2 linked regions of the Callithrix jacchus genome follow. The protein of the gene in region 1 interacts with the protein of each later gene in a pairwise test. Links are inferred from orthologs where the notes say so. Each region holds a gene or a part of one and is shown on either strand. Other genes may lie near its edges. The genes, in order: CTNNA1 and ARMC8.

Region 1 (6,335 bases):
CTTAGTGGTGCCAGAATGGGCTACTACAGGGAGAGAAGTAGGGTAGATAGAGTGGGCTTCCTTTCTCCTTGGCTCCATGAGTAAGGGTATAACAGTTGCTTGCAGCTTGGGGATGTTTGGCCAATGGATTGTGATAGTCTGGTGGTAACTTTGCCTTGGGGATGAAGGGAAGCTGTGGCTACTAACACCAGGAGCAAGACACACTCCAGCTATAGTTCCATTTCCAAGATGGTATAGCGCAGTAGTTGCATGGGCCATAGAGGGCAAGTCCCAGTGTTGCCCCCCTTCTTGGAGGGAACACAGCAGTGTGGACTCTAGGCAGCTCCCTCAGCTGGGCTTAGTGCCTATGAGAACTGCAGGGACAGTGGTGAGGTCTATATGTGTCCCAGGTATTGATGGGGGTTGCTGAGATCCTCTTGCTTACCTCCTTCCAGTAGGGAGGTTTGTCCTGGTTCCCAGATGATCCTGGTTGGGGTATAGGGTGGTGGAGGCCAGGTGTTTCCTTCTTTTTTCCATGTGGCCGCCTTGAGTTTTGTAACTAGGGTTTTTGTAAGTTCTCTGATGCACTCTGTGCTCTATCTCAGTTATTTTTGTTAAAATGTAGTTGTTTAATCATTGTTTTGGGTGTTGTTTTGAGGGGGATGAATGCTAGGAGCTTCTAGTTGGCCATCTTATGTCACGATTTTAAACCCTTTGTAAACATAAACTCAGTTACTATCTTAACAGAATAATGCGAGGTAGATACTATAACTGGTTGCATATTAATTTTAATAGAGATTATGTAATCTGGCAAGGTCTCTCAACTGACAAGTAGTGGAGCCAGGATTTGAACCCAGGTTATTTGGCTCCAGAGGACAGTGATACTGTTTTAATTCTTCCTATAATCCCTACTGCCTAGAACATTGCCTGGGTATAGTAGTGTTCAATAAATACTTAAAAACTGAATGATTAAACTGCTTTGCTGTACTGGAATTGGATTCTAAGTGTGATCCTAATCAGTTGCTTTCTAATTAAGTGTGGCTGGAATATTATTTGCTGACTAGAAGTGTTGAATTTCATTAGCTCTATGCTGTTCTTTGACTGTGAGTGTAAAAGTGATGGCAGAAGTAAGGATGAGTTGGCATCAACCCTGGCTCCTATGAGAAGGACCACCTCTGCCTCACATTGTCGACTCTGGCTTCCTAACATGCTAGTTATGTAATAATGCCTTGATGCTTACATTCCCTCCCTCCATGTACAGAGAGCTTATTGAGGTATTTGGTGAGAATGTAATGCTTCTTATTTATTACTTAGTCTATGAATTCTTGCCTTTTGTGATTTTTTTTTTCCTGAAATCTTGAACAGACACTGAATAGTGATGTTATTGTCAGTGTTTTATTTGTAAATAATTTGGACTGGTTGGATTATTTGACCATGGACACTTATTTAAGTGTAGCCATTTGTATCCAAGAGAAATCTATGGCTGTAGTTTTATATTGTTAAGGGAGAAATGAGAGGAGGCTTTCACTTGAATTTTCAGCTCTTGGTTAAACACAGTGTTATAGATTGCTTAGAAGTTAGCTTCTATTTCTTGGTGAATCCATGGGATGGATAGTTCAGATTACATTGAAAGCAGTTCTTTGACTGTTCCTGAGTCTGCCTAACCATCAGTGGATTGGTGAAGTTGGGAATTATGAAAGCTAAAGTAGACCAAGAGACTAATTTCATAAGTAATCTAATATGTTGCTTAATAGGCCACTTTCCTCAGTAATCTGGATTACTTATTGGCGTTATATATGTTGAAAAGAATACTTTTAATCATTATTCTTATTACAGTAAATAGTGCCGTATTGTGATAGTGTCTGTTTCTTTATGTAAGAAATTTCTTTGTGCTAAGGCAAGAACAGCTCTAAGAGAGAAAAAAGAATAGTTTAGCAGTCAGGACAAATGATGGTATTTCATTGTTATTTTCATCATAGATTAAAATATATCCCTCATACTTTGTAAATAGGAGTCTATCAGAGATACGGTATGATGAGGGCAAGACATTTAGAAAATGCCACACAGAGCATACGCACCAGCTGTTTAAGCATAATGGTTAGCCCTAGCTCCTTGTCATAACTCAAGTCTTGAAATGATCACCAGTTCTCTAAATCCACAGGATCCTGTTTCTGAATATTTAGCCCGATGTAGTCTTTGGAAAAGTAGAAGTTTGTACCATACCAGGCAGTGGCTTAGGAAAGTCATGAATTACTATTCAGCAATAGTAATTATGGTATCTACTAACTTGAGATGACCACGAGTGTCTTTGGTAACTAACCTTTAAAGAGGCTGTGCCGATCTACTGGGTCATAGATAGTTAGGAGGAATGCCAAAGCTGATTGTGAAGCATTTTTATAAAACAATGGACAATTTAGGTGCTTTAAGGCGAATTCCTTCCTAGAAAACTTTTAGAACCCCGGAGATTGTGGTGAAGGCATTTAGAAAATACCACAGAAAACATGAGCACCAGCTGTTTAAGTGTAATGTGTAGTTGCAGCCCCTTGTTGCTTGAGTCTTTAAATGATCACCGATTCTTTAAATCTACAGGGTCCTGTTTTTGAGTATTTAGCCTGATGTACTATGTTACAGGGCATTTGGAGTGCTGTGAGCTACTACTTGCAAATTTAGATTCCAAACGAGAAAGAATTCTAGGAGGAAAGTAAGCTGTCATATTATACAAGGTTTGAATAAAGATGCAAACCTAAATATATATACTCAGATGAAGTTTCAGAAAAAGGAAGCCAGTTTGGTGTCTCTAATGCCTAATTAGGAACTCTTAGAAAGATGAAGCACTAAATAGCTAAGTCAAACGGCTAATTGAGTAATTGACTTTGTCCTTTTTAACTTGGTCAATTTTCTCTTATTGTTTACACATGTAATACTCAAAATGTTTAAATGTATACTCTAGGATTCAGTTGATGACGTTAACATTGACATCTTAACATGTAAAATAGAGTTGGACTACATTTAGTGATCATTTAGAGTTATCGCTTGTATTCTTCTGTGGTGGTGATCCACTTTTATGAAAGCCTTTTTTTTTCCTTCTGAGTAATGTGAGTATAAGGGGAATACCAGAAATACCTGCTTCCCATTCCCATCTTGTTTATTTTTGGCATCACTTATTTGTCACTTAGCATATCTACTCAAGCCTATCAAGTAGATGCCATCATTAGTGGAAATGATGCCAAGGACCTCAGATCCTTCGTACTGTGAATTGTAATTATGGGGTAGAAGAAATAAAAAAAAAAACAAACAGTTTAAGACCACATCTATGCAGAGTATTGTAATCATAGATTGGGATTATGAAGCACTTACGTCTCAACTTTATGGCTTAGTGACCTGTGAACTGTTTAATGTACTGTGTATGAAAAGTATGGTTCTGTGTCCTAAAGTGGTCTTTGGGGTGGGGAAGGGGAGGGGAGGAGTTACATGCTTGTGAGAATAGCCTTGCCATATCATCACCTAGTTTATCTAGTTCATGCATACCTATGGTATCCTGGACCAAATTTCACAAAACCCTTAAAATGAAATTGTGTAACTTAATAAAAAATAATCCTCATAATAGGTCTTAACTCTGTTTGAATGTATTTCTTCATGATCTTTCTACTTTTGATTGGAATAGTACATATATCTATATAGAGTTGTAATCAATATGTTAGGGAGTTTTGTCTTTTATTTAATGCCTTATTGAGTGCTGTACTAAGTACTTCACATACATTGTCTCATTTAATCCTCAAAACAGTAAGATGCCTATTATTGCTTTTCTTTGACAGAAGGGGAACCTTAGCCCTGAGGGTTTGAAATAAGGTTACAAAATATCCAGGAGAAATCTAGGTCTGTGTGATTACAAAACTCAGAATCTTACCTGCTAAGCCATACTGGCTTCTTTGATTGACTTTCAACTAGATTGTTAATGAAGATAATGTGTCTAATTAGTAGAAATTCTAACTTTTCAGCATTTACTGACAAATTTTTATGTGAGTAGGACCCATATAAAGAGTACTCCGATTTCTTCTTTTACTCTTGTAGGAACTGAAAGATGTTGGCCATCGTGATCAGATGGCTGCAGCTAGAGGAATCCTGCAGAAGAATGTTCCGATCCTCTATACTGCATCCCAGGCATGCCTACAGCACCCTGATGTCGCAGCCTATAAGGCCAACAGGGACCTGATATACAAGCAGCTGCAGCAGGCGGTCACGGGCATTTCCAATGCAGCCCAGGCCACTGCCTCAGACGATGCCTCCCAGCACCAGGGGGGAGGAGGAGGAGAACTGGCATATGCACTCAATAACTTTGATGTAAGTTATGCTTGGGTGGAAATTTCTAGCTTTTGACCATCCCTCAAAAGATAACAGGTTTCTGGGGAAAAGTGATCAAGGCCTCTAATGATAGCTTAGTTTCCACTTAGATCTGTAATCTAAGTAAAAGAAATTATGAATCATCAGTTTACTTGGGTTTAACTTGGCCCAAAACATTTATTTTTAGTTTGAATTAAACTTTTGGATTCTTTTATGTAGCTTGTGTTTCCTGTGAGGTCATTCTTTATTGAGGATATGGGTTTGATTCATTTCAACCAAGATTTTGAACTGGCAGATATGAAGCTATGGTAGATACAGAAACAAAGTACACGTAGGGTCTGTCCCCGAGAGGCTGTGGTGTATTGGGAGACAGAGAAACATCCTAAGTGACTGCAGCAAAAGTACCATCATTCTAATCCTTGTTTGCCTAGATATACTTCTTTTCAATGACTACAGTGGAATAATGAACAAAAATTTAATCAAGTGGAAGCAAATTTGGGATTAAAATACTTTCTTAGCATAATGCCATAATTACTTTCCATAAATGATGCTCTAGGTCTGTCCTCTGTACACAATTCTAATGTTAATTACGTGGTGGGTTGTATGTTTTTAATTCCTACCCACAATGCCTCATAGCTTCCAGTAGATGGCAGCAGTTTAATTTTTTTTTTTTAAGGGCTTTAAAAGTAATGTTGGAGCAAATTAAAAACAAATAAAGGAAGAGAATTTGTGTTCCAGGTGGCCAGCATCCTTTCATAAAGTAGCGATGCTGTGAAATATAAAATAATAATAATAAAAATACAGTGGAGTACATTTTTTTTTCTGCCTTTACTTTTTCTTTCTTTCTTTTGCCACCTTACTTTTGCTTAGCTAGCTGATCCTTATTGATATGCATGGCTGATTTAAGACTTTTCATAAAGCAAGAAGGCATGTTAAGTCTAAAGATCTTGGTGTTAGAACTTAGTTTTTACCGTGAAGCTTTAAACATTAAATTATTTTATAACAAACTCTTACGGTGCATGTTAAAATTTACTAGCAATGTTGTTTTTTTTCCCCTCAAAATTTGGCAGCATTGGGTATCTTTCAAAGATACCCAAGTAGCACATTTTGCCCTAAGTTGAGTAATATCTACCAGAAACCATTTAACTTCTCAGGGCCACTGGTATTTATTTGTAAAATGAGGGTTTGTACTAAATGATCTCAGGCCTATTGAGGCTCTGTTACTGTAATAAAATTCTGTGACCATTCATTTCTCATTTTTGTTGGCCAGAAAGCATTTTGTATTCAGTTTTGGCCAGAGAAATCCTGTAATAACCTAATCTGGTAAGAAAAATGATCAGCTAAAATGTAGATTAATAATGAACTGAAGGTATTGCATGTTCAGTTTGAAAACTGAGGGTTCTTTGGAAGGGAAGGAAGAAATGTATACTTATTGGAAAAGGGCAAGGTTTTGGTAGAAAAAAATTTGGCATTTAAGTTGAAATCAATAAGGACATAGTTTCTATAAAGAAAAATTAAAGCCATAATATTTGCACAGACATTTATCAGTATGAGAATAAATTATATCAAGTAGAGAAATTGGAGGGAGACCAATAGCTGCTGTCTTGAGGATGCTGTTTCACCTTGTACCTAAAGCTTACTTGTGACCAGACCTCACTAAGCACTGAGAAAGCTGGATGTAAGTGGAGTCGGGAGGGGAAAGGGAGAAAGATAAAGGATTTATTTATCTATTTATTTTTTGTTTGTTTTATTTTATTTTATTTACTTTTTTGAGATGGAATTTTGCTCTTGTTGCCCAGGCGGGAGTGCAATTTTGGCTTACTGCCATCTTTGCCTCCCAGGTTCAAGCGATTCTCCTGCCTCAGCCTCCTGAGTAGCTGGGATTACAGGGATGCACCACCACACCTGACTAATTTTGTATTTTTAGTAGAAATGGGGTTTCTTCATATTGGTCAGACTGGTCTCGAACTCCCAATCTCAGGTAATCTGCCTGCCTTGGCCTCCCAGAATGTTGG
Region 2 (6,899 bases), on another chromosome or scaffold:
GAGGTAGGTGTGGGATGTCTGGAGTCACATTCCTAGCTCCTCCCTGCTCTGATTTCAGCCACAGCAGTAGTGACAGTTCTGTGCAGGCTCAGATTTATGCTGCCTATATCTCACCCTAAAAGGAAACCTACAGACTCTGCTTTTTTTTTTTTGAGATGGAGTTTTTCTTTTGTTGCCCAGTCTAGAGTGCAATGGCACAATCTCGGCTCACTGCAACCTCTGACTCCCAAATTCAAGCAATTCTCCTGCCTCAGTCTCCCAAGTAGCTGGGATTTCAGGCTTGTGCCACCACGCTGGCTAATTTTTTTTTTTTTTTTTGTACTTTTAGCAGAGACGGGGTTTCACCATGCAGGCTGGTCTCAAACTCCTGACCTCAGGTAATTCACATGCCTAGGCCTCCCAAAGTACTGGTATTACAGGTGTGAGCCACTGTGCCTGGCCAACCCTGCTTTTTTATATCAGGTTAAGGAAGCCCGTTCCGTTCTGTGCACAAATATAATCCAGAAGGGTAGAAAGTTAACAGCTCTAGGGAAATCCTCAACCAATACAGGATGGTAGTGGTGAATGAATGCCGAAGCTTCAAGATGGATAATCCAGAGAGGTATTCTGTATGTTTTTCAGAGGTGCTTGAGGAATAAACAGTGGCCTCAATAATGGACAATTATATTGAACATTTCTTCTTTCTTTTCTCACTCTCCCTGACCTATCAATTTTGTTCCCCAAAAGCACTTCCCAATAAAATACCTGCACCCAAATCTTTGTCCCAGGCTCAAACTAAGCCAAAAATTCATTCAACAAATATAAGTGACTGTGGAGGCACTGAGATAGAAAACCTAGAAGATAAAATTCCTAGTGCCTGTCCTGAAGTGTATAGTGAGACAAACAAGGAAACAACAAAACCACTCTACAATTGAAGTATGAAGGCATTGGGGGAAGGGTCATCTAACCCATGCCTGAGGGAGGCAATTCCTGGAGGACATACTGCTTGAGCTAATGGACAGAGTGTGAATCAAATACAGTTATAATGACTCTATATGCTACGTATTAGGGTTATGCTCTGCCCCATTGCAGTATACAGTACATGATGTGATTTTAGGTGGTCCATGGATGGAAATTTAAACTTTTTGTAATTAATGTGTACTGGAAGAAAAATAAGGAGCACAACAAACTTGATTTCAGAGTATTATGGTTTAGGATAAAGCCAGAATTTTTTAATGAGTTGCAATAGGCTTTAAATAAAAATACTGAATGAATAATAATACCTAGGTGCAGATTGGCAAAGATTTTGTAGGTGGTGTGCAGATTACCCAAGTTTCGGAAATAGTATTATAGCAGAAGGAGTGCCTACCTAAAATAAAATTCCTGGCTTCCAGGAACTCAACGGTTTGTTAAGGAACACAGACCCATAAGCAGGGATGATAAATACTACACTAAATTTGGAAACCACGTACAGGAGGAAGACAGGAAAACAGTGAGGAGCAAAGTGAAGGAGAGGCTACCAGCTACAAGACCAGTTGGAAAGCTATTTCTCTAGTCCAGGGGAGAGGTTACAACAACCTGAATTAGGGTGCGGCTATGGAAGGAACATTGCAACCATACTCTGAAAACCTTACTGGTTGCAAGCAGTACGAAGGTAAAACCTGTCCAACCAAGTCAAGGGCAGTGCTGCACACACACGCCATGGAGCAGGACAGCTGACTTAATCAACTATAATTAGATAATACTTTTATTTGGCTTCGGTTATCAGATAATTTTTGGTGTGAAATATTCGGATATTTGCCCCACTTTCCCCACTTGACTCAGAAGCTGGAGAAGCGCTGACACATTGTATAACGCTTCCTATGTTCTAGGCTTTTTCTGAGCGCTTTACGTTTATTGACTCCTCTATCCTCATTAACCTTTATTTTACAAATGAAGAAACTCGAACAGAAGGTTAGATAACTTGCCCAGGGTAAGGCAGCTAAGTGAAGTAGCTAGGAAGAAGCCGATCATTCTGGCTATTCTTAACACTACAGCAGAATAAACGCGGCCGGCACACAACGCTAAGGCAAGTCCCACTTCTGCATTGCATAGTTAAAAATCACTCTTAATGGTAGGCAAAAGACCTGGTTCTGGGATCGCAATTTCCCCACCTATGAAATGGAGATAACGACGCCGGGAGTTTGGTGCAGAATGAGATAATGAACATGAAAGTGAACTTCAAACTATGTATGTGGCTCCATGTACTGCTTTTTCCGAATATGCATACGCGAACCCACCAACTACAATTTATCAGTCGGTAGAGCTTGTAGCGCCAGAACGAGACTCCGCCTCTGGAGCCCCGCCCACCGCGAGCTGCAGGTGGGGCCGACAGATCTTCTTTGCGCATGCGGAACCGCTGCCCGCTCCCACCTCTAACCCAAGCTCAGAGTAGCTGCTGTTTCTGAGAGAACGATTCGTAGGACGGCCTCTGACGCGGTTCCCTTTTGCTCTTCTTTCTGCGGGCCTTTCCGGTACTTGAGCGGTGTCCAGAGCAAGGCTCGTTCTCGTCGTTCTGACTGCCTTTCGGGAGAGGTGCCTGTCGTTGGCCAAGAGTTGGCTGTCGAAAGTGCCGGCCCCCACGCCGGCGCCGGCAGCAGCCGGGTGGGAAGGCTCAAGATGGCGTGCCTGTTGGAGACCCCAATCCGCATGAGCGTCCTTTCGGTGAGTGACCCGCCGCGGCCGCCCGCCCGCCCTCCAGGGAGCCCCATCCCGGTGTCCACCATTCTCCCAAGCGTGGTGTGCCTCCTGGGCACCACCCCCTGGAGTGGCCCCCGGCTCAGTCTTGGGCCAGGGTGTGAGTGAGGGTGGACAGGCGGGATAGACGGGCAGAGGGGACCCCGGCGGAGTCAAAGACGTTTCCAACTCCGGGAGCTCCTGCCGGTGCGGGTTCTCAGGGTGGCGTCTTGCAGACGGGGTGGTTGGGCTTACAGACAACTGGCCGGGCAGCGCGGCTTGGACTTTGCCAAGCGTTTCACTGAGCCTTCCTTTTAGTGATGCAGCTTCCCGGGGGCCGAGCGCTCCGCCTTGTGAAGCGCCGGGCTTGCAGCCGGCCTGGGAACGAGCGCCCACTCAGCTCTCTGGGGCTTTGGCAAGAAGAGGTGCAGGCTCCTTGGCCCCCATTTCCTCAGAGCTGCCAGGCCAGATATATGTGGCTTCTATCGCGTCCCAGCACCTGGGCACCGGCTGAAGCTGTTTGCTTTTTGGCAATGGTGATTTCGTATCAGCTGCAACTCTTGCTAGTGTATGTGGTTATTTAAGCCCCTTTTCTCCGCTCTGCTCAGAGGTCGCGGCTCTGGGTCAAAGGAACTGTATGTTCCCTGTGCCTGGTATTCCTTTTTTCTTTAAGGGGAGTCAAACATTGAAGGGGGGAAAAAGGGGTGAGATTTCCCCATTGTTGAAAGAAGGGAACGTGTTGACATGCCAGGAAGTAAAACCTGTTTTTTTTTTTTTAAGTTTTGTTTTGTTTTGTTTTTTTTAAAAAAAGACGACTTTCACCTTTCACTATGTTGCTCTTGAACCAGGACCAGGAATGAAAGTTACTGGGAGATAACTTCGAAGGATTTTGCAACAAATTCGAGCTGTCCGACTCTGAGAATGGTCAGTTTACCAATGGTTCATTTGCTATTGTTGGAAACAAGCAGGCAAATACTGATTGACCATCTTTTAGACTTATGGAAGCCAGTCTGATACTGAGAGGGTAGTTGGATTATAAATGACTTGTCGGGTTCCTAGAGTCTTGTAACTACAACTGGTTTCTTTTCTCTTCCTTGAGTTGTCCCACAAACAAACTCACCTATCTGAAAGCACCTAGGACATTGGCTTATGATTCAGGGTTAGAGCAGCGTGGTAGACCTCAACCTTGAAAAGGCTTAAGTTTTCAATACAACAATAATTTAATTTTGTGAGACTTTCAACAGATTTTTCCCTCTGATCCATTTTAGCAGTCATTTTTTCTTATTTTTAAACTGCAACTAAGGAAATACTGCTTATCTAATCACTGAATCAGCTTAGCCTGTTACTCCACCACTGACTGTAATATCCAGGAATATTCTGTGGGAGTGCGAACCAATGACTTTTACCTCATTATGTTAAAAAAAAAAAAAAAGCAGTATGTGTCTTGGCTGTTCTCAGTTCCCCTTTAATTATTGATTTAGATTTCAGTTATCCTTCAGTTCAGCTGAAGCTTACTTTGTGGATGTTGTCAACTTGTATAATGCATATGATTAAAAATTTTCATTTGTTTCGCTTCCTTGGTAAATATTTTTTGCTTAATTTATTCAAAACCTTTTTGAAGAATATTTTCTATTAACCTATTTAGGCTTTGCTTTTATCCCTAGTCTCATTAGGGGCTTATTATTATTATTTTGAGATTTCCATAGTCCCAAAGTCTGGTCTGTCAGATCTTCACTCCTAGAGACGTGGAAAGTAGGAGCTTTGGATACATGATTTAAAATGTTTAAATTCACAGATTTTACTAATTTAAAGTGAACCCTGTACCTTTCAAAATACTACTCAGAACACCAAGGTTTTTGAAATGTGAACTAGAACAGGAAATATTCATCAGAAATTATCTTGAATGGTTGAGTCCTTTAATAGGCTACTATGTACCAGTTATGTACAAGCCCTGTATTGTGTACATTAGGGAATGTGAGGATGAGATCAGAAATGCATTTAAGGGGCTCATAGTCTGGATGACACTATAACTTCAAATGAAGATAATTTTAGCAAGGAGGCATTCAAGTTGTTTTAAAGGATTTCGATTTGAGTCTCTCTATACCTTCTCCTTGGGAGATCTCATTGATTTTCCTATAACCTTAACTGATCAGTTTACGTATCTACATTGCCAATCTTGACTTTCTTCTGCATCTAGTCATACATCTTCAACTGTGTGGATGACACCCATCAGTTCCAACAGCACATTCCTTCTCCTAAGGGGAATTAGTTATGACATCCCAATTTCTGATAATGGTATTATCTTTCAGTGATCAGTCCCCTTTTTTTTAAATACAGAGTCTTGCTCTGTTGCCCAGGCCAGAGTGCAATGGCACCACCTCGGCTTACTGCAACCTCTGCCTCCCATGTTCAGGCGATTCTCCTGCCTCAGCCTCCTGAGTAGCTGGGACTACAGGCACACACCACCACTCCCTGCTAATATTTTGTATTTTTAGTAGAGACTGGGTTTCACCTTGTTAGCCAGGATGGTCTCAATCTCCTGACCTCCTGATCTGCCTGCCTCAGCCTCCCAAAGTGCTGGGATTACAGGCGTGAACACCTCGCCTGGCCGATCAGTCACTGTTAAACCTCCTGAATGATCTCTGATTCTCCCTCCTTTCATCCCCCTGTACCTACCAGTTGTTAAGCTCTGTTGCTTCTTTATTCTTAGTGTTTCTCATATCTTTCTGTTCCCATGACTTCCCTCATTCAGGACCTTGTTATTTTATGCCTGCACTACCACAGTGTCCTTTTAGTTATTTTTACCGTCTCTAGTGTCTTTCTTACCTTCTCAGTGCAAGTTCATTTCTACATTAATTTTCCTGAAGAACCCTTTGCACAGCTGCTCCTGTTTCTTTTCTTTAGTGAATTTGTTTTGCCCAAAGGCCCAAGTTTATATTCAGCTTCAGATTTGAGATTTTTATCTTCTTCTTCTTTTTTTTTTTGAGACAAAGTTTTGTTCTTGTTGCCCAGACTGGAAAGCAATGGTGTGATCTTGGCTCACTGCATCCTCTGCCTCCTGGGTTCAAGCAATTCTCCTTCCTCAGCCTCCTGAGTAGCTGGGATTATAGGCACCTGCCACTATGCCTGGCTAAAAATACAAAATTTTTGTTAGAGATAGAGTTTTGCCATGTTGGCCAGGCTGGTCTGGAGCTCCTAACCTCAAGTGATCCACCCGCCTCCACCTCCCAAAGTGCTGGGATTATAGGTGTGATTCTTTATTTTCTACACAAGCCTCCTTTTCACTGGCTTTCTCAGCTTAGAGTGATACCAGGATTTTTCCAAACTCCAGTAAATCTTATTGTCTCTGTCTACTCATTTGTACATATGAATTTTAGCTTTGTATATATGTATTCTGTTCGACTACTTTGAGCTTCTGTCATTTGCTAGGCAGGCATGGTGTTGAGTTTGGTAATACCGTGGTAAGCTACACAGACCTCTGTCCTTTTGGAAATATTAGCCTAATGGGAAAAATAGTTATCAAATAATCACACAGTTTGTTTGTAAATGGTGATTAGTATTATGAATGAAATATATAGGGTGGTGTTCAAACATATCATAGAGGAAACTGATCTAATTTGAAGGGCAATGAGAAGAACTAGGGAAGGTTTCCCTGAAGAAGTGACACCGAGCTGAGAGTTTAAGGATGAGTAAGAACTAAGTAGAAAAAGTGACAGAAGAAGAGCATACAAGGCAAAGGGAATTGCTTTTGCAGAGGTCTTCAATAATACGGTATCTTTTCGTCTTAGAGAGTAAATTCATTGAGAAGTAATACTTTGTCTTGCAAATACTAGGTACTCAGTAAATGTTTGATTGAACTATCTATTTTGGAGGGTTGGACAAACTCTCCAGCTCTCTTTCTAAACTGCAGCATGACTACCCCAAGCCTCTTTGGTTTGCATTTAACATTACAACATCACCCTTTTCAACAAATTCATAAATTTCTCCCATGTTTTCTGTACTTTTGAATTATGTTGATTGCATTTTTAAAAATGTTTATTTTGAAATAATTATAGATTCACAGGAAGTTGCAAAGATAGTACAGAGGAGGTCCCTGTGTATATTTCACCCAGTTTCCCTCGTAGGTTACATCTTATATAATTACAATACAATATCAAAACAAGGAAATTGACATTGGTATAAGTATGTAGCTCTGTATCATTTTA

Evidence for each region.
Region 2: the proteins of CTNNA1 (region 1) and ARMC8 interact in a two-hybrid assay, tested with the Homo sapiens proteins (2 studies listed by BioGRID and IntAct). The link is inferred for Callithrix jacchus from reciprocal best matches to the Homo sapiens genes CTNNA1 and ARMC8.

Annotation. Positions count from the first base shown.
Region 1 is NC_133503.1:37,209,456-37,215,790, forward strand, and holds part of CTNNA1 (catenin alpha-1), read left to right. Parts: intron 1-4,050; coding exon 4,051-4,320; intron 4,321-6,335. UniProt on the Homo sapiens protein: Associates with the cytoplasmic domain of a variety of cadherins. The association of catenins to cadherins produces a complex which is linked to the actin filament network, and which seems to be of primary importance for cadherins cell-adhesion properties.
Region 2 is NC_133518.1:46,139,940-46,146,838, reverse strand, and holds the start of ARMC8 (armadillo repeat-containing protein 8), read left to right. Parts: upstream 1-2,610; 5' UTR 2,611-2,637; coding exon 2,638-2,682; intron 2,683-3,542; exon of another isoform or gene 3,543-3,615; coding exon of another isoform or gene 3,616-3,618; intron 3,619-6,899. UniProt on the Homo sapiens protein: Component of the CTLH E3 ubiquitin-protein ligase complex that selectively accepts ubiquitin from UBE2H and mediates ubiquitination and subsequent proteasomal degradation of the transcription factor HBP1.